Linked DNA regions of Macaca mulatta. The protein of the gene in region 3 interacts with the protein of the main gene of each other region in a pairwise test. Links are inferred from orthologs where the notes say so. Each region holds a gene or a part of one and is shown on either strand. Other genes may lie near its edges. The genes, in order: SYT6, POLDIP3, GOLGA2, PPP1R16B, RBM41, TBP and SLX9.

Region 1 (3,500 bases), on a different chromosome or scaffold from region 3:
CTCAAGGAAAAGCACTCCTCATAGGTGAAAGAAATAGTGTCATTGTTCAGCCTCATCACCCTTTTGAGTCAGCCAGTGATTGACGAGCTGAGATTTAGGGCTGTGAACTGCATACCTGTCGGCAGGTGCCACGTCTGATTTGGGGCCAGCTTCCCCATTAGTAAAAGTCCATTAGGCGCTCTCCCAAGAGTACTGAGGTAGCTAAAGACTCTGCATTTATTAAGCACAGAGTGTCCTCAGAGACAGGTGTGCTACATAAATACAAGGTGGTTTAATTATTTTAACAACCCACTGATACCATCTGATGAGCAGCAGTAGGTCTAGGGCTTCAGTCCCTTTGCTGCAAATGATGTTTGCAGACATCTGTTAACACACTCCATTCCCTTTCCTCTGTCCCCATTGGCACAGATCCCTATGTCAAAGTGTCCCTGCTTTGTGATGGGCGGAGGCTGAAGAAGAAGAAAACAACCATAAAGAAAAACACACTCAATCCTGTCTACAATGAGGCCATCATCTTTGACATTCCCCCGGAAAACATGGATCAAGTCAGCCTGCTCATCTCAGTCATGGACTATGATCGGTAGGTGGGCGTCCCAGAAGGATGTGATTCCACCCCTCACTCCCACTCCAGCACCAGCACAGGGCTCCTTGACCTTGTGATTCAGGGCTCAGCTTCGGGGTTCAGGCCTCAACTCTATCTGTACCCAAGAAGGGTACAGGAGTTTGAGGAAGATCATGGATTCTCCCTTAGCAAAGGTTCAAAGTTCTTTTCCCAACTGGCCTATTTCCATCAGGGGCGGCTCTATCCATCAGTTTCCCTGAATTCACCCCTTGCTATTCCCATTCTTCCATCTGGCACCAAGTCCTGTTATCTGGCCTTCGAAATGCCCCTCTATCCTCTCTATTTCTGCTGTTGCTATTACTGTCACCCTGGGATGGCTGTGCAGCCTCCTAACTGACCCCTGCCTCCATCGATTCCTGCCCCAATTCGGTCAACATACTAGGGACACATCTTCCTAAATGACAGCTTTCTTCCTGGACCCGCCCTTCTAAAGAACCATCAGTGGCTCCTGTGATCCAGGCTTTTCCCTTGGACTCTCACGGCCTTCCCTCATCTGGAACCAGCATATCCATCCAGTCGGATCTCCCCTCTCTCAGATATTTTTCTTCTCTTCCATACCTCCTGCTTTTCCATCTAGGCTGGCTCAGAAACATTTCTCAACTGCTCCAGCCCCTATAACTCCTTCTCTCCAGTTGTCACTTTAGCTAAAGAAGAAAGAAACCATGCAATAAAGCCTCAATACAGGACTTTTAGCCCAAGTTCTCAGGCATAGTATTGACAAACATACCTAAGGGATAATTGATGTTCTTACCTAGTGAATAAATCACATTCCAGCCACGGGGGTTTTGGAGAAATGGTGCTCAGAGACGGTCGATTTATTTGCAAATACTGATGTCTCAGTGAGGTTGTAATGTGTTGGCAGGGTCAAATAAGTGAAGAGACTTAGACTCTCTCACCTCCCAAACTCAGGCTGTCTGCCCACCATTTCTTGAGATTCCAAACAGGTTTATAACCTTTGCTTATCTGCCTGTGTCTAGTGTCCACTGAAGGGGACCAGGCAAAGGCTTCACTGCCACTGACACCCAGAAGCCCTGCCAAGCATCTGTTTCCAGAGCTCAGAGTTCTGAGTTAGACCCATTGGGCAGAGTCCTACCATGCCCCCCCGCCCACCCGCGCTGGACCTCCTTGTCTGAGGGCATGTCTGGTAGCCAATGCTGGGACTTTTGTTTCTCCCTCAGAGTGGGCCACAATGAGATCATAGGAGTCTGTCGTGTAGGGATCAATGCCGAAGGCCTGGGTAGGGACCACTGGAACGAGATGCTGGCATACCCCCGGAAGCCCATCGCACACTGGCACTCCTTGGTGGAGGTAAAGAAATCCTTCAAAGAGGTGGGTGAGGTCGCCTGGCCCTTGGCATGTTTGCTGCATGGCAGTGTGGGCTGGAGAATGGCAGTCGGCTGCAGTGACACCTTCAGCCTTTTGTGGAAAGGTGGGCATGGGGGCCACATGCTTCTTACCCAGCGTGTAATAGGCCAAAAGGAAACAGAGGAAAAAGGTGGAGTCCACCGACACAAAGCCTCTGGTGTTGGGCATTTTGAAAGCAACACTGAGTTCGTAATGGAAAGCAAGAACTTTGAAGAAGACTTCCCAGCAGACCACTGTGCCAGGCCTGAAATGCTTTCACAAAGCCCTTGGCCAAGTTGGTCCTTTAGGAGAAAGCCCCAAGCGGGTGAGATCACAGCTTGGCAAGACATTCTACCCCTGTCAGAACAGTAAGTTCCCTGAGGCTCAAGCGAGGCAGTCACTTGGCAGTTTTCACTGCTTGGATGGAGATGCCAAAGAGCAGATTCCTCCTCTTATGAATGTTGGTTCTCGCCCTTGTTGGGGAAGGGAGCATGACCTCAAGGTGTCAGGCTTTCTGGCTAAAGCTGTGGAGCTGGGTTGCGTTGGGTTCTAACAGAGACGTAATGGAGAGAGCACTGGGCTGGGAGTCCCGAGACTTGGGCTCCAATCTTGGCCCCTCCTGACTTACTGTATAATCTTGACCCTGTCACTTCTCCCTCAACTGCAAAGAAAATATCCCTTTGAGTGATATCTGCAAACTTCTCCACCCTCCACTGAATCCCACTGACTTAGGATCCTGTATTCTATCACCCTGGTGGTCCCCAGGCCTGCTTTTTCTCAAATGGATTGGAAGTGTGGGTGACCAAACAAGGCTTAAAACTCACTCACAGTATCTCATGCCTTGGTCTGTATCCTAGAAAGCTGGGTGAATATTCTGTCATCTTAACAGGCTTCAAACCTAACAAGTCTAGAGAGCTGTATAAATTGGAAATTCTACTAATACAAAATAAAGCTTTATCCTTTTCACTGCATGGCCCCTCAGCTTAAAATCGGAGTCACCTTCAAAACAGAGTCATCCCCTCCCCACACTCTATGATGCAGAGAAGTCAGGTCGGCAAACCTAGAGAACCCACCGGCTCCCTGCCCTCTCATGGAGGACAAGCCCATTTCCAGCTGTTTCTGGCAGGGTGAGGTGTCTCAGGAGAGCCTGAGAGCCAAGGGGATTGGACCTGTGGAAACACGGGTGATAGGGACCTCGGTTGGTGAGGGGGCAGGCTAATTGATTCACCTCCCCAGACAGGTGGCGTGTGCTCTGTGCAGCTCCTGCCCTGTGACCTTTGAGGCGGCATCAAGGGGTATAAAGAAGCAAAGTTTCTGGCAGTTGAGACCTCATATTTCTATCTTGTGGGTGACTTGATTTTCCCATAGCTGTGGACCTTTAATGAGTGAGGCCAGTCCCTCGGCTCTCAGCTCCCCCAGAGGAGCCCCTGCCCCTCTTTTCCAGAAAGCCCTTTCTGCAGAGTGTGGGTGAGGAACCCACAATACAGGAGGCGTTGCTGGGCAGAACGCTAGACAACCTGCAGACAGCATCCAG
Region 2 (3,500 bases), on a different chromosome or scaffold from region 3:
GCTAATTTTTGTATTTTTCAGTAGAGATGGGGTTTCACCATGTAGGCTATGCTGGTCTTGAACTCCTGACCTTATAATCTGCCTGCCTTGGCCTCCCAAAGTGCTGGTATTAAAGGTGTGAGCCACTGTGCCCAGCCCAGCTGAGGTTAAACCTTTTTTTTTTTTTTTGGAGACAGAGTCTCGCTTTGTCGCCCAGGCTGGAGTGCAGTGGCCGGATCTCAGCTCACTGCAAGCTCCGCCTCCCGGGTTTACGCCATTCTCCTGCCTCAGCCTCCCAAGTAGCTGGGACTACAGGCGCCCACCACCTCGCCCGGCTAGTTTTTTGTATTTTTTTAGTAGAGACGGGGTTTCACCGTGTTAGCCAGGATGGTCTCGATCTCCTGACCTCGTGATCTGCCCGTCTCAGCCTCCCAAAGTGCTGGGATTACAGGCTTGAGCCTCCGCACCTGGCCTAGGTTAAATCTTAATTATGAAACACACACATGCTGTGAAATGGGTCCCTCATACGCCCTTCTCCTTTACAGCGACAGTGCTGTGAATGGTGCACGTGAGGATGGAAATTGTAGCTTGTTTTGTGTAATACTTGACAAGTCATTAAGAATTAAAGCTGATTGCTGGGTGCAGTGGCTCACGTCTGTAATCCCAGCACTTTGTGAGGCCGAGGCTGGTGGATCACCTGAGGTCAGGAGTTCGAGACCAGCTTGGCCAACATGGCGAAACCCCATCTCTACTAAAAATAGAAAAATTAGCCAGGCGTGGTGGTGCGTGCCCGTAGTCCCAGCTACTCGGGAGGCTGAGGCAGGAGAATCACTTAGAACCTGGGAGGTGGAAGTTGCAGTAAGCTGAGATCACACCATTGCTCTCCCGCCTAGGCGACAGAGTGAGACTCTGTCTCAAAAAAAAGGAAAGAATTAAAACTGTTTATAAGCGTAATAACGACTGCCATTTATTGAGTACTTGCTATGTGCCAGTCACTTTAGGCAGACTCCTGGGAGATATATAATGGTGGAAAACTGAACACCAGTCATGATCAGCACTCAGGGGAGATTGCCAGTAATAATCATCCTCTCTCCTCTTCTACCCAAATAGGCAATGTTAAAAGGACAATGGAAATAAAATTGGAATTACACCTACTATTTATAGTTGGCCCTTCATATCTGTTGGTTCTGCATCTGCAGATTTAGCCAACCACTGAATGAAAATATTCAAATTTTTAAAAATAACAGTATAATGAGAAATAATACAAATTTTAGAAATACAGTATAACAACTATTTATATAGCATTTACATTGGTATTGTAAGTAATCTAGAGATGATTTAAAGTATAGTGGACAGTGTGCATAGGTTATACGTAAATACTACAGCATTTTATAGCAGGGACTTGAGCATCCACAGATTTTAGTATCTGTGAGTGGTTCTGGAGCCAGTCTCCCGCAGGTGCAGAGGGACGTCTTGTTTTGATATTTACCAGTAAATCAAATCATGTCAAGGACCTTTTCATAAACCTTCTTTTGGCCCTCACAGCAACCTTGTGAAGGCAGTTGCAGGTGAAGAAATGGTGTGAGTGCTAGTCAGGCTCTGTCTGTCTTCACATTCTGCTCCCTCTCTGGCCTTAATTGTCTTGTCTGTAAAATGGGGTGGAGATTGGAGTCAATGATGTGTGCAAAGCACTGCTTAAAAATGATCTCTGTTGAGCTTTCCAGCAACCCTCGAAAGTAAGCTAGTTCTTTTTATTTTCAGAAGAGGAAACAGGCTTAGAGAAGTTAAGTAACTTGCTAGATGTCGCATAGCAGATAGGAAGCAAAGCCTGGGGAATCAAACTCAGGTCTGACTTAGAGTGACCAACTGTCCCAGTTTTGCTAGGGACTCTCCTGGTTTTATCACTCAAAGTCTTATGTCTAGGGAAACCCTTCAATCCAGCCAAACCAGGACTCTGGGTAGAACTTCAGAATTTGTATTTCTAACAGATTATCAGGTGACATGTTAGCAGCTGTCCTTCTTTGTATACATGTATTCTCATGACAGGGCTCTCTGAGAAAATTTTCATAACTATTTTATCCCTGTTGAGGTGAGCACTGAAGACTTTGGTGGTGGCTTGCTGGGAGATCCCAGGTGATCCAAGGCTTGTAAACCCAGCCCCTTTCCCACTGCTGACTTCATCTGGTGCTGTGTTGAGGCCTATGGATGTCTCAAGAGCACCACCTAACGTGGAACCTCCCTGCAGTCTCAGGCACAGGGGCATATTTAGCTGCAGTGGAGCCCACACCCCAGGGCCTTCAGAGTGTGTGAGTGGCAGGCGGTGAGAAATCCTTCCCTAATCCCAACCCCTCTTGTGTGCAGGAACTTTTCTGTGTGTGTGGGGCCCTCAAGCGAGCTCGACTGGTCCATCCTGGGGTAGCAGAGGTGGTGTTTGTGAAGAAGGACGATGCCATCACCGCATATAAGAAGTACAACAACCGGTGTCTGGACGGTAAGTTAGGGAGAAGGCAGCCCTCTGACCCTCCCACTCCTCTCTACTTGCTGTCAGGTAGCAGGCTTTCCAGGGGAAGTCTCTCTGAGATGGGTGGAACCCATCTCCGGGGCCTCGTCTGCACCAGGAACTGCTGTGCAGTCTCTGAGTAGTCCTGAGCCGTGGGTTACACAGGGCCCTGGATTTTCACCCAGCCCTTAAGCTTTTGAGCCCAGCAAAAAGGAAAACAGCGTTTCTCTGTGGATGGTTCTCTTAAGCGGTTTTGCAGGGAAGCCAAGAGGCACAGCCGTTCCCTCCCAGATGTTGATCTGCTTAGTGCTAGGGCAGACGTTCCTCAAAGCCCTGGAGTCTGGTCTGAATGTTGGCTCCTGGGTGAGAGCTGCTCCTAGTGGGTAAACAACAGACTTTATTGACTTGAGGTTCGTATTTTTCATCTCCAGAGAGCCTGTAGAGAAGAATTCTGTCTGCCATGTTCCTTTTCTACTCATTTGTTCTTTCAGTATGTATTGAGTGCCTACTGTGGACCAAGGCCCTGTGCTAGAAGTGGAGAAGCAGAGACTAATAAAACAATACAACAATTAAAAAATTACAAATAAAAGACCTAGAGCCTTGGCTAAATCTTGGCACCTGGGTGAACTCCCCTGGGTGAGTCAGTGGAGTTCTGATTTGCATTTCCCCGTGGCTAATGATGTTGAGCACCTTTTCATGTGCTTATTGGCCATTTGTATGTCATTAAAAAAAATTATTTTTAATTTTGTTTTAAATTTTAAATTTCTCTTGTTTTTTCTTATTTTGTCATATTGGATGTGGAAAGATACTTTTCTTTTTCTTTTTTTTTTGAGTTTCTCTCTGTAGCTGGGGTGCAGTGGCATGATCTTGGCTCACAGGAACCTCTGCCTTCCATGTTCAAGCAATTTTCCTGCCTCAGCCTTCCAAGTAGCTGGGACTACAGGCATGCGCCACCACGCCCAGCTAATTTTTTTGTATTTTTAGTAGAGATGGGGTTTCACCATGTTGGCCAGGCTGGTCT
Region 3 (3,500 bases):
GGGTCCCTGATAACCTGGTCCCATGGGTGGGCCGGTCCTGGGGCATTGGTGGCATTCTGGGGGCATGTCCCTTGCTGTGCCATCTCTGCCTCCCCCTAGTAAGAGCTCTGTCTTCCTCTTCCTGTAGGAAAAGAAAGAATGCCACCAAAAGCAGGGAGCCCTAAGGGAGCAGTTACAGGTGAGTGGAGGGGGTGAAGTTCCGCCCTGTCCTCTGGAGAATGTTTCTTTCCTTCTTTTTCAGCACTTGCTTGGGTTTCCTCCCAAAGGTTCACATTCAGACCATAGGGATCCTCGTATCAGAGAAAGCTGAGTTACAGACAGCCCTGGCTCACACTCAGCATGCTGCCAGGCAGAAAGAAGGTGGGAATCTGGGCACCCCATCATCCTTCAACCTGGCACTTTGACAGGCCTTTAGGGTGAGTCCTTTGGACCCCATCTCAACCTCTCTCATTCCAGGAGAGTCCGAAGATCTGGCCAGTCGCCTGCAGTATTCCCGGAGGCGTGTGGGAGAGTTGGAGCGGGCTCTCTCTGCTGTCTCCACGCAGCAGAAGAAAGCAGACAGGGTGAGTCCAACTGCCTGCCCCGAACCCTGGCAGCCTGGCTTCCCAGGTGGAGGAGTGAGCCTAAAGGTCTCTTCTGCAGGGTTGAGTGTCCTGCCCAGAAGGCAGCATGGGCCATTTGTCACTCCTTTTGTGTGTGGTTGTTAGAGGCATCCTGGGGCTGAGTCAGCTGCTGTGGGTGGGTGGGGGGGCACTGTGAGGAGTGAACACTGGACACAGAGCTCAGAGGCCAAGTGCCCGCCCTGCCCTTACCTAGCTGTGGCCTTGGCCAAGTCCTAGGTTGGGGAATGTGGTATTTGTTCTGTGAAGGTACAGAAGAGTATCTTTAGTATGTTACCATTTGTGTAGAGAGAGGGAACGTGTGTGTGTGTGTCTGTGTGTGTGTCCGTGTGTCTGTACATATGTACTGTGACAATATACATAAAACATGTCTGCAAGGATTCATAAAAAACTCAGGAGAGAGGAGCAGCATGGCTGGAAGATATTTCCCTTCTGTACCTTCAGAGTTTTGGACAATGCGAATGTATGATCCTTTCAAAAATTGAACAAAAGATTAATTTCCCTCTTCCTATCTGTGCCCCCACCCCCAGGGAACAAATGAACTTAGAGAGTCAGATATACCTGGCTATTCAAATCCCAGCTCTGTCTAAGTGATCTTAGGCAAACACTTAACCTCTAATACTACATATTTTTCATCTACAAAATAGAGGTAATAATATTGCAGTGAGCTGTCTCATGTGGTGGTTATGAGGATTAAATGGGATTATTAGCATGGTGCCTGGTGAAACACTCAATAAAGGTTCAAACAGTGGTAGTAATAATGATAATAACAATAGCAATATTATCTGATCTCTCTGGGCCTCTGTTAGCCAGCTGTAAATTCAATCTTGGCCAGGTGTGGTGGCTTATACCTGTAATCCCAGCACTTTGGGAGGCCGAGGTGGGCAGGTCAACTGAGGTCAGGGGTTTGAGACCAGCCTGACCAACATAGCAAAACCCTGTCTCTACTAAAAATACAAAAAATTAGCCAGGTGTGGTGGCAGGTGCCTGTAATCCCAGCTACTTGGGAGGCTGAGGTAGGAGAATTGCTTGAACCCGGGGGCGGAAGTTGCAGTGAGCCGAGATCACACCACTGCCCTCCAGCCTGGGTGACAGAGGGAGACTCCGTTTCTAAATAAATAAATAAATAAATATACAAAAATTAGCCAGGTGTGGTGGTGCATGCCTGTAATCCTAGGTACTCAGGAGCCTGAGGTAGGAGAATCACATGACCCCGGGAGGCAGAGGTTGCAGTGAGCCAAGATGGCACCATTGCATTTCAGCCTGGGTGACAGAGGGAGACTCCATCTCAAATAAATACATATATACATACATACATAAATTCACTGTCTTTTCCTGTCCCTTCCACTCTTACCAAGCTCTGTATTTTTTTTTTTTTGGAGACGGAGTCCCGCTCTGTTGCCCAGGCTGGAGTGCAGTGGCCGGATCTCAGCTCGCTGCAAGCTCCGCCTCCCGGATTTAGGCCATTCTCCTGCCTCAGCCTCCCAAGTAGCTGGGACTACAGGCGCCTGCCACCACACTCGGCTAGTTTTTGATATTTTTTTGGTAGAGACGGGGTTTCACCGTGTTAGCCAGGATGGTCTCGATCTCCTGACCTTGTGATCCGCCAGTCTTGGCCTCCCAAAGTGCTGGGATTACAGGCGTGAGCCACTGCGCCCGGCCTTTTTTTTTTTTTTTTTTTTGAGACGGAGTCTCACTCTGTCACCCAGGCTGGAGTGCAGTGGTGCCATCTCGGCTCACTGCAAGCTCTGTCTCCCGGGTTCACTCCATTCTCCTGCCTCAGCCTCCCAAGTAGCTGGGATTACAGGCACCCGCCACCACGCCCGGCTAACTTTTTGTATTTTTTTTTTAAGTAGAGATGGGGTTTCACCGTGTTAGCCAGGATGGTCTCGATCTTCTGACCTCGTGATCCACCCGCCTTGGCCTCCCAAAGTGCTGGGATTACAGGTGTGAGCCACCGCGCCCGGCCACCCTTACCAAGTTCTTTTAAAAACAAATGAGACCAGCTGGGCACGGTGGCTCACACCTGTAATTCCAACACTTTAGAAGGTTGAGGCGGGTGGATCACTTGAGGTCAGGAGTTCAAGACCAGCCTGGCCAACATGGTGAAACCCCATCTCTACTAAAAATACAAAAATTAGGCTGGGCGTGGTAGCTCACGCCTGTTATCCCAGTACTTTGGGAGGCTGAGATGGGTGGATCACAAGGTCAGGAGATCGAGACCATCCTGGCTAACATGGTGAAACCCCGTCTCTACTAAAAATACAAAAAAATTAGCCAGGTATGGTGGCAGGCACCTGTAGTCCCAGCTACTTAGGAGGCTGAGGCAGGAGAATGGCGTGAACCTGGGAGGCAGAGCTTGCATTGAGCAGAGATGGCGCCACTGCACTCCAGCCTGGGTGACAGAGTGAGACTCCGTCTCAGAAAAACAAAAACAAAAACAAATTAGCCGGACATGGTGGCGTGTGCCTGTAGTCCCAACTACTCAGGAGGCTGAGGCAGGAGAGTCACTTGGACCTGGGAGGCGGAGGTTGTGAGCTGAGATCTCACCATTGCACTTCAGCCTGGGTGACAGAGCGAGACTCTGTCTCAAAAACAACAACAACAACAAAATGAGACCATGGGCTTGGAAATGCCTTGAAAACATGTCAAGTGTGATTGAGAGTGAAGAAGTGTTACTGTGGAGTAGTTACTGTAGCTATTGTTACTGGTCGGCCAGCTGCTCCTCTGCCTGCTATATCCTGACTTAACCTTTCTGTGTTTACAGTACAACAAGGAGTTAACCAAAGAGAGAGATGCCCTCAGGCTGGAGTTATACAAGAACACGTAGGACTGGGGATGGTGGGATGGGAGGTCTGGGGGCCCTTAGCATGGGTGGTG
Region 4 (4,097 bases), on a different chromosome or scaffold from region 3:
ACTCAAGACAGTGAAGGTTTTCCTGGTCTCTGCTGGAAGAGTGCCAGTTGGGACCTACTGTTCAACAAATGTGACAAGTGTTCTGGGTGCAGGAAGGGTGGTGGTTAGGTTGCAAAAGGGGAGGGAAAGGTTGGGGGGATGGGGTCCTGAGAGTCCAAACACGGCACCTGAATTCAGGTATGTGCCTCCTGCCTTCTGCTAAACCAGGTTGGCTGCAGCCTCTGTTGCTCCTCTTGGGGCATGGAGCTGGTTTTGAGAGGAGCTGAGCCCCAGTTTTCCCATCTGCAAAATGGGAATCAGTAATGCCTACTTCATGGGGTTGTGAGGATTCTGTGAGGCCATTACACATAGGCCTAGTTTCCAATGGTCTTAAATGGGCTCTGCAGAAAGGAGAAAGGTTCTGGCTTTAAGGAAAAACCACCTCCCTACATCAGCATCCTCTTAGTCCTGTGGCTCAAGCTCCTGAAATGACTTAACAGCCAGATTAGAATTTAACTTCCGCTCCACCGTCAATTACCAGAGAGAGCAAAGTCTGAGTGGGCACAGGGCCTTGCCTACCACGTCTTTCCAGGCCACGGATGATCTGGAGAGCACAGATGGCACGGGGCCCTTGACACATGAACCACAGAGCCACTAATGAATGCCACGGTGGTAGGAGACCAAAAGAGAGGAAAGAAGACATTCCAGAGGCTGGGAAGAGCTGGGGCCAGGAAGGTTCCAGGACAGGGGGACACTGTTAGGTAGACCCCAATAGACAAGTAGGTACAGAGTTGATGGTCCAGGGTGGCCTGGTTGACACCTTGCCCCCAGCATCCTGGGGACTCAGCCAGGAAGATTGGATTTGGGTGACAGGTGGGAGAGAAGGGCATGGGAGATTTGTGTGGGAAGGGCCGTGTGAGCAGGCAGCCGGCTGGAAAGATTTGCTGGCCCCCACCGGCCTCCTGCAAGCTGGCTTTTTATGACAGAGCTGGTGGAGGAAGATGTGGAAACTCCCCCAGCCCCTGCAGAACCACCCACCAGGGCTCCACTTCTGCACCTGTCTAAGAGAGACACGCCCCACTCATAGCCAATCCCGAGGGCGGCCAGTATTGGCCAAGGAGTGTTCATCCTCCGGCTCTGCTGCACCCAGCCTCTCCCTCATCTCCCCACAGCCTGGCGGCTGTTAGCCCCAGTTTCTTAGAGGCAGTTGAGACTCCAGAGGCCAAGTACTTTGCCCACGAGTAGACAGCTAGTCGCTGGCTGAGCTAAGAAGCTTTATTACCAGCCTTGGAGGAGGCCTCCTAGATGGAGGGTTTTTCTCCAGTGCTTCACCAGCCGCAGGAAATGGCAGAGTACACAGGGAAGTACCCCTGCGGACTGAGGCCGCCATCGGCAGGCCCTTTCCAGGGAGAGCCCTGCGGGAAAGGGCGCCTGGTACCTCCGGGCCCCGGGTCCTCCACAGAGGGTGATTCAGAGGCGACACCTGGTGCCCCGAGCCGCGGAGAGCTGGGGGGCGCTTCTGACAGTGAGAACAGGGGCCCTTTATGTGAAGTGCAATCACATGGGCGCGCAGGCAGCTCGGTTTTCCGTTCCTAGAAGCGCTGATGAAGCCACATCCCTCTCCCTCCGCTCCTGAGGTGCCCGGGAGCACCGGGACCCAGGCCTGTCGCGCGGCAGCGGCGCAGCCCTGGGGTCTCGAGAGGGCCAGATTCAAAGCTCTCCCAGGCTCAATTATCCACCAAGGGCTGGGAGCTGCATCATCAGCATCTCCAGTGAAGCTGGAGGCCAGGCCGGGGAGGGGGAGCGGAGGAAGGGAGTCTGCATGGGGGAAGGAGGCGGGCAGCGAGCGCCTGCCCCTCCCCGCTCTCCACCCGGGGCGGTCTGGGCAGCTCAGTCTGGGCACTCCGGGTGACCTTGGCGAGACCCCTCTGGGCGACCTCTCTGGGGCGCTGCACGTCTCTGCCCATCCTCGGCGCTCGGGGGCGCTCCTCCCGGCCTGAATCGATAAGCGGGAGTCGCCCAGAGGGGAGAGCTCCCGGCGCGGGGGACCCAGCAGCCCGCGCACGGGGCCCTGGGAGAGGCCGGGCGCGCCCCTCCCGGGGAACTACCAAGCGCCGGGTCTCCCCGGGCTGACTGGTGCTGTCAGCTCGATCCTGAGGCGGGGCGGGTCTGCAGGCGGAGGCGCCTGCTTTGGGGACCTTTCCTGCCCAGGCAGGAGCGCTCTCTGTGCCCTGCCGCTGCCCGCGGGGACCAAGCCCCGCCACGCGAGGGGGCGGCACCTCCATGCCCGGCCGGGAGAGTGGGCGCGAGGGGGTTGTTTGTTGTCCGCTGTGGCTCCCGCCGCCCGGCATTGCACCCCCAGCAGACGGCGGCCCACGAGCCTAGAACCGACGGAGGACCCCACCTCCCCGCCCTAAGATTGGGCCACGACGGCCGCAGCCAACAACCTGCCAATGCGCCCCCTCCCCTGGCCTCGTCAAGGAATTGCGAGGCCGGGGAGAACGCCCCCACTCCAGCCCGACTCCCGGATCCAGCGCCCTCGGTACCTGCCTTTCCAGAGTCCCCACACTCCCATTTATATCTTAAGCTACCGTCCCTTGACCAAAGCGCCCTGGCCCCCAGCTAGGTGATCGGAGGCTGGGACCACCTCCCCGCCCCATCCTCATCCCCCGCCCCGCGAAGCCGCAGAGGGCAAGGAGGGAGGCGGCGCCGCCGGGGAACTCACCAGCTCTCCCGAGCCCTGCCCCGGGCGGCTCCCGACCCCGGCTGTGTCTGTGGGTCCCCGAGCCGCAGCTGCTCCAGCGGCGACAGAGCCGGCTCTGCTCCGCCGCGAGCCTCCGCGCCGCCTCTCGGCTCCTCCCCCAAGGCGGGGCCTGAGCTCCCGGGACTGGGGTGGGCGCGCTCAACCCCATCCGGCTTGGGAGGCAGCGCGGGACAGGGTCCCGGCGCTCTCGAGGGTGGGGACCCCTCTTCTGAGCTGCAGGAAGTTGAAACTGGTTGGGACGCGGCCAGGCTTCGGAATAGTTTTCCTAATGCTGCCTCCTCCTCCAAAATAGTTTTCCTAACCCCCACCCCGACCATGGAAAGAGGGAAGCCAAGGACGGTATCCCTGCTCCCATTTGACAGACGGGAATCCTGAATCCCAGAGAGGAGTAGTAACCTGCTCAAGGTCACACAGAATGAATTCCAGGAACTCAGGGTTCCTAGCTTGAAGTACCGCGCGGCCTGAGTCTGAAGGCTTCCCAGGAGGTCCAGGGGCCGGCCCTGGCCTTGCGCTGGGGACAGAACTGTGGGGCCAGGTCGCCCAGCTGGCGGGGGCGAGACATGGGGGCTGTGGCCTGCGGCGTGGACTCGCATCATTTCCTCTTTCTGGAAAGAAGGGAGGTGAAGCGCTGGAGGAAGGAAGTGGTCGTACCTCTGCTGACGTCTGCCACCCTTTGAGGTGTGCAGGATGAAGATAGGGGCTGCTTCCCTGAGATTTCACGCTAAAAATAAAAAGCAAAACATACCCGGTGACTTCTGTCACCTTATTCAAGCCTCTTTCTGGGGCTGAAGGCCTCTGCGCTCTGTGCACCAGCCTTTCTTTACATCACAATAGGTTTAACTATTTAAGTTGCTGAGAGTCAACACCCCCTCACCCCCCACACCCCCCCACCGCCACCGTCACCACCCCAGGAAGAGAAGAGAAAGTTCATAAACAAAGCGGAGAAAACATCCCCAAACATTCTCTGGAATCCACATTTGCTGAACCCTGGCCTTAGAACAATAGGTTTCTCTTCTCCACAAAGGCTTTGTTTCCTGAGCTTTCCCGGCCTACAGATGAGAGCCCTAGGCACCCTAGGGCCAGCCAGCTGGGGAAATTCAGAGTTTAAGTTTGGGGAGTTTGGGGATGGTACCCAGTTAATTTAATTCTCAGCTGTCATGTTTGAGGAACTCTCCTGAATCCCTTTTTTTTCACTACCAATGTTCTTTTGAGACCACCAGCATCACCTGAGTTTAGTGATTTTGTGTGTGCTCAGTCAACTTTCTTGGGGGAGAGAAAATCTGTGGGTTGAACTTGTTCCAGGCCCCCAGGCCCTCCCCAGGAACTGTGCGAGCCCCCTTGGTTGGCTCCCTGG
Region 5 (3,500 bases), on a different chromosome or scaffold from region 3:
GTAACTCACAGAAAGTTCCTGAAAGGCTAATAAATGTTAAGAATACATGCTTAACCTCACTGGAAATCAGAAACATGCAAATTAAAACAGTGAGATATCTTTTCAAGCTGATAAGGCTGGCAAAATAGTCTAATGCTCCAAAGTTTTGGCAAGAATGTGAAGAGGATCTCTGAAACCTTGTTCCATTAGAAATTGAGATATACACACCCTATATATCACAGCAATTCCACTCCCAGGTATATAACCTAGAACGATGATTCTTAAATTGTTACTCTCAGACCAGCAGGATCAGAATCTCTTGGGAACTTGTTGGAAATGCAAATTCTCAGGCCCCACTCCAGATCTACTGAGTCAAAAATTCTGGGGGTGGAGTCTAGCAATCTATGCTTTAATAAGCCCTCCAAGCAATTCTGATGCACACTAACATTCGAGACACTGTAATAGAATGACACCTTCCCAACACTTTTGATTGAGATCTACAGGAAGAACTGCATTCTTCATTGTGGTCCCACACACATTATCTCACATATACACAAACACATATAAAATAAAAGCTTTAAGAAACAGTAATTACCCTAACATACTGTATGGAACACTTTTTGATATTTTCTATTCTATTCCATTTCATTAACAAAACCCCATTGGTTGTAACCTACTAATTGTAACCTAAGTTTGAAAAACACTGTCCTAGAAAAAGTCTGGCATATGCACAACAAGAGATGTACAATAATACTTGTTGCAGAATTAACTGTAACAGCAAAATAACAGAAAGAACAAATCTTCAGGAAAATGGATAAATATAATAAATGATGGTCTATTTCTACAATGGAATACTACATAGTTCCTTGTATCTTTAGAAATAAATTTCAAAAGCATTATGCATATCGAGTCAAAAAGGTTGTAGAATGATAGAGTATGTCATTTATATACTTTTAAAACATATAAAACCGTATGTTATTTGTGAATATATGGCTATGTAGTAAAAATATAAAAATGGGCATAGGAATTATAAATAGCAAATTCAGGATAGTGGTTACATCTGGAAAGGATAAAGGAGAATGGGATTGGTGAGGAATATGTGGAAGTCTTCAGGAATATCTATAATGCTTTATTTTTTTTAATTAAGCAAATACAGAAAATATTAGGACTTGACAATGATTAATAAAAGTTGGCTGGCTACACAGGTATTTGCTATATTATTCTATATCACTTTTGGTATATTAATATTTCATAACAAAAAGTAAATAAAAACCAAGCTATTCTTGAACTAATAGCATAAATACCCCTGAACTATTAGAAATTCAGTCAGTCAAATAAACTGTTTTAATATCCCTCATCTAGAATGATTTTTTTTTTTAATTCAGAGACAGTCAAAAACTAACATTATATTTTTGGTTTTGTTTTTTAAATTAGACACAACAAACTATATGCTCCAGGGGCTTGTGTTGTCTCTTTGGGTAACACAGTAACGAAGAGTTTTCCATTCCAGATGTAACATATAACATGAATGTGAAATAATGATTTGATCAATAAAATAAGAATTATTTACAACGTTATTTAGTTATGCATTGGACAATTTCTTTTTTTTTTTTTTTTTTTTTTTTTTTTTGAGATGGGGTCTCGGTTTGTTGTCCAGGCTGGAGTGCAGTGGCATGATCTTGGCTCACTGCAATCTCCGCCTCCCAGGTTCAAGCAATTCTCTTGCCTCAGCCTCCTGAGTAGCTGGGATTACAGGCACGCACCACCACGCCCGGCTAATTTTTGTATTTTTAGTAGAGATGGGGTTTTACCATGTTGGTCAGGCTGGTCTCGAACTCCTGACCTTGTGATCCGCCTGCCTCAGCCTCCCAAAGTGCTTGGATTACAGGCATGAGCCACCACGCCCAGACTTGTTGGACAATTTCTTAAAGCTTATAGGACCTTTTTCACTTTGCTGCTTTGCCAACAGCAATTTAAGTCATATGTCATATGAAAGCCAGGTAGAGCATTCTGAAGAGAAGACTCATGTGGTAGCATATACCCTACTCACAACCAGGCAGTCAATTATTGGCTAATTCCAGAGGCACCATGGCTACCAGCTATGGTGGTCCTATGAACACTATTTTATTATTACATTGTAGGAAATTGGAGGTTACTTTTCCTTCAGTTCGGGGCTTCTAATGGGTATGGACTAGAGTCTTATCAACATTTCTTTAAAATGCTAAGGGTAATTCAGGACCTTAGCAAAGTACCAAGAACCTTATAGGAAATATGCTACTTATATAGTATGCAGAGAATGAATAGTCAAGGTCAAGGACAAACACAATCACTGTGCCTATATCATGATTCTTTGGTATAATCAAAGCTAATTTAAAAGTATTACTTTAGGTAGAGGTAAATAAAAGTGAAATCAACCCAGGTTGTTTTACTTGGTTTGGCCTATACCTTGTTTGGTTCCCCTGGATTATATGAAGAAAACATAGGAATTTTTCGGATCTCTTCCTCTGACAAACGATTTCTCTGGATTTCATCTTCTGGGACAAATTCTATTGGCTGCGTCAGCTTCTTAGGCCCAGTCCAACACTGCTCAGGTGAAAAATCAATAACATTTGCCACATGGAGACTGGGGCCTTTACCCTGTGCTGCCTGTTTTCCCTTGTCCTGGAGTAATGATGGGCTCTCAGCTGTGACTCTATCACCCACTGATGTAGCTGAGACCAGTGAGTGGGAAGCAAAGGGTTCACCTCTCATAAGTTGGAACTCTTCAAGACGTTTTTTCATTATCATCTCTTGGTAAAAACTTTCCAGGTTGTTCATGGGATCACCTTTGTTCTTCTTTTGGGGTTCATCTGGATCAAGACAAAGAGATAGGGAAGTTCTACAAAGCCTACCAATACAACTTTTGACAAATTAATAAAAATTAAATCCTGGACCTCAGATAAAGAAACACTGCTGGGGCAGGTCTTTACAACCTGTGACAAATGACAATGGTAAATAGTTATCTTATTACAGTATATTTCAAGCAAAACTATAGGCCAGAACTATGGTGAGGCAAGTGAGGCACCTAGGGTCATGCAAATATATGTACCTCTAATTGATAAGGACATTTAAAAAAAATAAGCAACATAGCACTACACTTCACAAAATTAATAATTCCTTAGTATCATCTAATACCAATGTTATGTTCAAATTGTCCTGATTCCGTCAAAGAATTTTTTTATACTTGTTTATTCAATTCAAAATCTAAAATAGCCTTTGGCTGTTATATCTCTTAAGATTCTTTTATTCTAAAACAGTGTCTCATCTCTCCCACCTCTCTATTTCATTTTCTCACTCATCCATTGATTAAATAAACTACATTTGTTCTATGAACAAATGAATTTGACTAATCATTTTCTGATGGTGCTGTTTAACTTGTTCCTTAATCCCTTCTATTTCTTGGCAGATAATCTATAACTATGCTACCTAATACAGTAGCCACTAGTCACATGTGTCTATTTACATTAATTTTTAAATATCAG
Region 6 (2,637 bases), on a different chromosome or scaffold from region 3:
AACCACCCTAACAATGAAACCTAAGAACCCACAAATGTCCACCTGATATTCCATGAGAAAAAAACTACAAAACAAGCAAAAAAAAGTTACTGCAGAGAGTTGGCAGCCTGTGGAGAGGGCATCAGCTTCTACACCTGAAGGACTCACTAATTTTTACCACTTACTAACTGTGTAACCTCAGCCAAGTCTCAGCGGGGGCCATTATCTCCTCACCTCCAACAGAGGAACAAAACCTGACTGCAGCTCTGTGAGGATTCCAGGCACCGTATGGAAAGTACCTAGAAAACAGGAGTTGCTCAATATATAGAAGGTAATAAATACACGTTTCCTGAGCAACTGTGAGTTCTGATCATTAATTTGCTTTCATTGAAGCATGTAATGAAATATTGACTGAAACAAACAAGCAGACACCAAAATGGTTTCAGGCATTATATCTAAAATACAACTTTTTAGAAAACAGTATGATCACATGACTCTTACAAGGTATCATAACAACAATCTAACACTTTTATAAACTGCATTTATTGTACAGAGTACTCTGAAGAAAGAAAAAATATGTACAGCCATTCATTTTCATTAACACATGTATTCTGTCCTGCAATACTGGAGAGGCGGAATGTGTCTGGCACAGAAATAACCCCTAGGAGTTACAAATTAGAAAAACAACACTTTTAAAAAAGATTTTTACTTTTCTGGTAGAAATATAAAAACTGTGGTTCATGGGGAAAAACATTAAAATTAAAAAGTCCAATCAATTGTAGAGGTGGCTTTCACTCTTAGAGTTTTCTCCCTCAAACCAACTTGTCAACAGCAGTGTTTAAAATCTACATATAAATAAATGGGCAGCGCTGCCCAGATAGCAGCACAGTATGAGCAACTCACAGTCACGCTGCGCGGTGTTCTCAGTGCACAAATAATGCCCCTTCCCGGCATCCTGTGGTGGGCACTTACAGAAGGGCATCACCTGGTGCCACAACCTGCAACTCAACATCCATCTTCTCACACCACCACCAGTTAAAGGTACCAAAACAAACTGATTTGTTTAAAAAAAAAAAAAAAAAAAAACAGTGGGTGGGGGAGGCAAGGGTACATGACAGCCATTACGTCGTCTTCCTGAATCCCTTTAGAATAGGGTAGATGTTTTCAAATGCTTCATAAATTTCTGCTCTGACTTTAGCACCTAAGAAGACAAGTTGAAGTAGAGATGAGAGACCGAAATGGCACTTCTTAACATATTAAGAAGTTAAAATTATTATTACCTTAAAGCTGCAAGCACAATTCTCACCATACCCAGTCAGATTAAGGCATAGGCATGAAAACATTAATGGTGGAACCCCTTGTCACAAACTTATTTTTGTTTATAAAACGATACTTTTAAAAAATCATCTTAGTGACTCCAGCATCTCGCATCCATTCTACAGCTCAAGAGGCATGTGTTCACACTTCTCTCCTGGTCCTGAACCAGGCCCTAAACTAAGCAGGACGGCAATAACAACCGAATCTTTTTCTCCCAATTGCTGCCTTCAACTAAGCTCTTTTCTGAATCTTCCTTTCTTGTCTCATAATCATATTGCTGAAGAATCGTAAAGCTTCAGATAACTAATTCCAAGTGAAAACACCATCTTCTATTCAATGCAGTGCTCACCTCCTGACTGTAAATGGAAACCTGCTTGCAGGGCTGTGGTCAGACTTCCCTGCTCTCACTGTGCCTTTAGTGGGCACGTTTCTCATAAGACTTGGGTGGGAGGCCTTTGTGCAAGAAGCTAGCCCACTGTCCCGACACTGAAATTTCTTTTCAGCACTGAGAAAATGCCATACTCGAAACAGAAACGTTCAGATACTACTTCCTGTTACAACTTACCTGTTAATACAACTTTTCCAGAAACAAAAATAAGGAGAACAATTCTGGGTTTGATCATTCTGTAGATTAAACCAGGAAATAACTCTGGCTCATAACTGGAAGGAAAATTGCAAAAAACAGTTTAGAAATTAAGAGCTTTGTGTGCTTTTAAATAAAATGAGAACCTGTACAAGGAAAAATACTGAATAAACAAGCAAACTAGTCAAGAGGTAAAGCACAGTTCTTCAAGCAGCATCAAAGGATAGAATAATTAAAGCAAGTGAGGCCAACTTTTAGCCATCAGCTGATAACCATTGGATGGGAGGCTATTTGCCCTCCTATCACTTTACCCCATTTCTACTGAGTCTGGATTTTCTGATTTAAGAAGAGCCCTGTAGTTATGTCTGCAGTCTCTGATAATAATCACCTACTTTTACAATCCTAATAATTACTATTACCTACCTAATAATCATTTACTTCTAAGATCTGATACTATAACTTTTAATCAAATCTCACCTTAAATTGAAATATTCTCTAGCTATCAATTGTGTTCAGGAAATTCAATCACTCTGATATACTAGCCTGAGAATTAACCTATACCTGATTGAGCTGTCTGACTGAATGGACTATTGGGGGGTGTGTGTGTGTAATTTTTTTTTTTTTTTTGAGACGGAGTCTTGTTCTGTTGCCCAGGCTGGAGTGCAGTAGTACGATCTTGGCTCGCTACAACCTCCGCCTCCTGGATTCGAGTGACTGTCCTGCCTCAGCCTTCCATGTAGCTGGGATTACAGGCGTGT
Region 7 (3,500 bases), on a different chromosome or scaffold from region 3:
CCCCATCTCTACTAAAAATACAAAAATCAGCTGGGCGTGGTGGCATGTGCCTGTAGTCCCAACTACTCGGGAGGCTGAGGCAGGGGAATCACTAGAACCCAGGAGGCGGAGGTTGCAGTGAGCCAAGATCACGCCACTGCACTCCAGCCTGGTGACAGAGCAAATCTCCGTCTCCAAACAAACAAACAAACAAACAAAACCAGAAGATCCAGGGTGGCTCAAAGGAGAGGCCACAGGGCTGCTGGGCGTGACCTCAGCCCAAGAACACTGCGAGGCCAGATGCTGCTAATGAGGAGTTTCCCTGGTAGGCAAGAGGGGTCGTGAGCGTGACGCCTCCCTCAATTAGGAGGGGAAGAGGGGACGTGAGGGTCAGTGCAGCAGGTGGCCTTGGGGACCAGATGAGTCACAGGGGTTGAAGGGAGAGGGCCAAGAAAAGGCAGAGGAAAGAGGCCGCTGTGTGAAAGAGAGGCTTTCTCTGAGAAGCTCAGGCCAGAGCCAGGTCAGTGAGACCCATGACTCCCCTCCCCTTGGGGACAGCCTCAGTGGCCTCATCGGGAATCAGGGAGCGCACAGCTCGGGTGGACCACCCACAACATCGAGGCTTCTGGCTGGAAGGCACAGCTTCTCTCTGGAGTTACCTGGCCTGGTCACCTCACCAGGTCCTCCTTGGAGAGAAGGCGCAGGAAACCAGCACTGGCTAAATGTACCTGGATCTTTCCAGAGGCACAGTGAAGCCCTCAGCACCCATGAGCTATGTCTGTCGCCGCTTTGTGGACAATGGAGCTAAGGGTCAGAGAGCAACCACAATCACACGACACGCCCAAGGAATTAAGGCTGGCCACCTCTGGGCAGCTGCAAAACCCACTCATCCCCAGCCTTGCCGCCAGACCAGCCTCACTCAACAGATGCGGAGCGGACACCTCCACGGCCTTCACTGCACTGTTTTAAACGTTTCACACCAACTAACTCATCTCAACCTCAAAACTGCCAGAACTTAGGAGATAAATATTGTTACCACCTTTGACAGATGCAAAACCCAGGCCCAGAGTGATCAAGTGTGCAGCCAGAGGCTACCAGGCGGTGAGGAGCAGAGGCCCAGAGCCACGCTCTCAAGGGGCTGCCTACAGGCCCCAGACCTGGCTCGTGCCCTGTCCTGGCACTCCCAGCTCTGCAGACTGTGAAGTCAAGTGCAGTCTTCACTGTCACACTGGTGTCCCCAGCTCTGCACCCACAGCCAGGCCCTCTCCCTCCCCAACCCGTGGCTCTCCAAGGCTGTCAAGATGTAAAAAGTTGAGCTCTGCACCCACAGCCAGGCCCTCTCCCTCCCCAACCCATGGCTCTCTGAGGCTGTCAAGATGTAAAAAGTATTCCTTGTGGCCCTCATGGACTACCTTAGATGAGTGAAGGAAGCTCTTTCCTGGATTTATCCCTGGGAGTGACACTGTGTCACCATCCTCCAGCCAGAAAGTCAACACTCCTGGCGTTGAGCATGGAGGCCTGGAACTCTCTAGAACACCTCAGGCTCAGTAGGAGGTGCAGGGGACTGCATTCCCTGCTAAGCTCCAGACACTGGAGTGAGTGCGAATTCCCGGGCCTCTCCCTGGCCAGGCTGACGTGTGTGCTGCAGGGCTGCAAGGAGTATAATCAGGAGACAGGGAAGGGCTGCACGTGGCTCTGATGAAACTGACAAGACCCCACTTGGGCTTCAGGATCTAAACCCTAACGAGTTATTTGTACAAAATGATAAACAGCTAACCTCTGCAACACATAAAGCACTTGTTTAAGAAAAGGGATCAAAACTGCCCCAAACATAGAGACAGACCATGAGAATCAGCACACACGGAGAAAAGAGTTCAAACCCTGTTGGTCACCAAAGAAGCCCAAGTTCCTGTGGCTTTAGCGCTGCTGCCAGGATGCAGGGCAGTCCCTGCGTAGCTGGGGGGACAAGATGCAGCCCAGGGGCAAAACCACCGCTGCAATCTACTCTGGGGAATCACCCCAACAAACAGCCAGGGGCATCCCTTGCTCAAGGACATTGTCAGGTACAGGTTAGCTGGAAAGCTGCTGAGACCTCGGGTGTGTGAGTGAGTGATCCCAGATCTGCTGGGCATCAGCATGGCAACCCACGCACTTAAGACTGCTCACCTCTCCTGACGGAAGTGACACTCCTCACGTCCAGCTCCAGCTTCTGCACCAAGGCACTGGGGTCTATCTTGGTCCTGGCAAAGATGTTGGTGTTGATGAACGCCCAGTCCTAATGTCCCCAACAAAAAAGGAAGGAAAAAAACGGTGTGAGACTTGCTCTGTGGTTTCAGAGGGAAGTTAAAGGTGAGGAGAAGACGGAGGACAAGAACCCGGATTCCCCAGCTTCTCTGCCTGGGAGGACCTGGGGGAAACAGCCCTCACCTCCCAGAGCAGGAGCCTCCGGCCCCAGAGCTCCAGGGCAGACCCGCAGCACCCAGGCCCACCTGCTCCCTGCCTGAAATCACCAGATGGGCTTCAGGAGTCAGGACCAGTATCTCAAGAACCAAATTTCTTGCCCAACCGTTTCGTCTTACTCTTTCCACAACATCCTCCTGTGTCGCAGAAGAAACCTGCAGCTGAGCAGATGAAGGATAGGCAGCTCCCAGCCTGCCAGCCCCTTCAGCTCAGAATGACCACACCCCATCAGAACCAGTCATCTCAGCGGCCTCTCTGCCAGGTCTGTTTCTGAGCCACACTCATCCCTACATGAAGATTTCAGCTCCTCCAAGTCAGCTGTCGACCACACTGCGAGAAGACAGAACCCCCAGTCCCTGACCCCCGTGCTGCCTGGCCCATTCACGTGCAAGCCTCACTGACCTTGGCAGGGAAGGCAGCACCGACCTCAACAGAGGTTTCTGAAGGGCGTCAGAATACGCCACCCCCATGCCGGGCGCGGTGGCTCACGCCTGTAATCCCAGCACTTTGGGAGGCCAAGGCGGGCGGATCACAAGGTCAGGAGATCGAGACCACGGTGAAACCCCGTTTCTACTAAAAATACAAAAAATTAGCCGGGCGCAGTGGTGGGCGCCTGTAGTCCCAGCTACTCAGGAGGCTGAGGCAGGAGAATGGCGTGAACCCGGGAGGCGGAGCTTGCAGTGAGCCGAGATTGCGCCACTGCACTCCAGCCTGGGCGACAGAGCGAGACTCTGTCTCAAAAAAAAAAAAAAAAAAAAAGAATACGCCACCCCAAAACATGTCACTTTGGCAAAAGAATTATTTTGAGCTAAAGGCACTCAAAAATATAGCAGGTACCAAGAGGGCACATTAACCCCCTCCGTTTTTCCTGAAAGAAGATAAAATCCCCATGTGGAAAATGCCCTCCTACACCAGAAGGAAAGCGACATTCTTATCATCGGGGACGGATGAGAGGAGCCAAAAGCACTCTGTACAGACACACCTGGTGAACACAACCCCTCCCGTCCTGCAGCCTGCCTCCCCACGTGGTTTAGTTTTCCACAACCACCTCCATTCAACCT

What was found.
Region 1: the proteins of GOLGA2 (region 3) and SYT6 interact in binary tests that used the Homo sapiens proteins (3 or more experiments, as listed by UniProt). The two-hybrid records come from large-scale screens. The link is inferred for Macaca mulatta from reciprocal best matches to the Homo sapiens genes GOLGA2 and SYT6.
Region 2: the proteins of GOLGA2 (region 3) and POLDIP3 interact in a two-hybrid assay, tested with the Homo sapiens proteins (2 studies listed by BioGRID and IntAct). The two-hybrid records come from large-scale screens. The link is inferred for Macaca mulatta from reciprocal best matches to the Homo sapiens genes GOLGA2 and POLDIP3.
Region 4: the proteins of GOLGA2 (region 3) and PPP1R16B interact in binary tests that used the Homo sapiens proteins (3 or more experiments, as listed by UniProt). The two-hybrid records come from large-scale screens. The link is inferred for Macaca mulatta from reciprocal best matches to the Homo sapiens genes GOLGA2 and PPP1R16B.
Region 5: the proteins of GOLGA2 (region 3) and RBM41 interact in binary tests that used the Homo sapiens proteins (3 or more experiments, as listed by UniProt). The two-hybrid records come from large-scale screens. The link is inferred for Macaca mulatta from reciprocal best matches to the Homo sapiens genes GOLGA2 and RBM41.
Region 6: the proteins of GOLGA2 (region 3) and TBP interact in a two-hybrid assay, tested with the Homo sapiens proteins (2 studies listed by BioGRID). The two-hybrid records come from large-scale screens. The link is inferred for Macaca mulatta from reciprocal best matches to the Homo sapiens genes GOLGA2 and TBP.
Region 7: the proteins of GOLGA2 (region 3) and SLX9 interact in binary tests that used the Homo sapiens proteins (3 or more experiments, as listed by UniProt). The two-hybrid records come from large-scale screens. The link is inferred for Macaca mulatta from reciprocal best matches to the Homo sapiens genes GOLGA2 and SLX9.

What each region holds. Positions count from the first base shown.
Region 1 is NC_133406.1:126,143,492-126,146,991, forward strand, and holds part of SYT6 (synaptotagmin-6), read left to right. Parts: intron 1-408; coding exon 409-580; intron 581-1,800; coding exon 1,801-1,951; intron 1,952-3,500.
Region 2 is NC_133415.1:8,891,158-8,894,657, forward strand, and holds part of POLDIP3 (polymerase delta-interacting protein 3), read left to right. Parts: intron 1-918; exon of another isoform or gene 919-990; intron 991-2,340; coding exon 2,341-2,470; exon of another isoform or gene 2,471-2,889; intron 2,890-3,325; exon of another isoform or gene 3,326-3,397; intron 3,398-3,500. UniProt on the Homo sapiens protein: Is involved in regulation of translation. Is preferentially associated with CBC-bound spliced mRNA-protein complexes during the pioneer round of mRNA translation. Contributes to enhanced translational efficiency of spliced over nonspliced mRNAs.
Region 3 is NC_133420.1:19,421,875-19,425,374, forward strand, and holds part of GOLGA2 (golgin subfamily A member 2), read left to right. Parts: intron 1-127; coding exon 128-178; intron 179-266; coding exon 267-360; intron 361-456; coding exon 457-563; intron 564-3,387; coding exon 3,388-3,446; intron 3,447-3,500. UniProt on the Homo sapiens protein: Peripheral membrane component of the cis-Golgi stack that acts as a membrane skeleton that maintains the structure of the Golgi apparatus, and as a vesicle thether that facilitates vesicle fusion to the Golgi membrane.
Region 4 is NC_133415.1:91,672,496-91,676,592, reverse strand, and holds the start of PPP1R16B (protein phosphatase 1 regulatory inhibitor subunit 16B), read right to left. Parts: upstream 2,801-4,097; 5' UTR 2,705-2,800; intron 1-2,704. UniProt on the Homo sapiens protein: Regulator of protein phosphatase 1 (PP1) that acts as a positive regulator of pulmonary endothelial cell (EC) barrier function. Involved in the regulation of the PI3K/AKT signaling pathway, angiogenesis and endothelial cell proliferation.
Region 5 is NC_133426.1:113,883,803-113,887,302, forward strand, and holds part of RBM41 (RNA-binding protein 41), read right to left. Parts: intron 2,829-3,500; coding exon 2,425-2,828; intron 1-2,424. UniProt on the Homo sapiens protein: May bind RNA.
Region 6 is NC_133409.1:1,477,876-1,480,512, forward strand, and holds the end of TBP (TATA-box-binding protein), read right to left. Parts: intron 1,957-2,637; coding exon 1,862-1,956; intron 1,181-1,861; coding exon 1,101-1,180; 3' UTR 501-1,100; downstream 1-500. UniProt on the Homo sapiens protein: The TFIID basal transcription factor complex plays a major role in the initiation of RNA polymerase II (Pol II)-dependent transcription.
Region 7 is NC_133408.1:2,573,597-2,577,096, forward strand, and holds part of SLX9 (ribosome biogenesis protein SLX9 homolog), read right to left. Parts: intron 2,255-3,500; coding exon 2,139-2,254; intron 1-2,138. UniProt on the Homo sapiens protein: May be involved in ribosome biogenesis.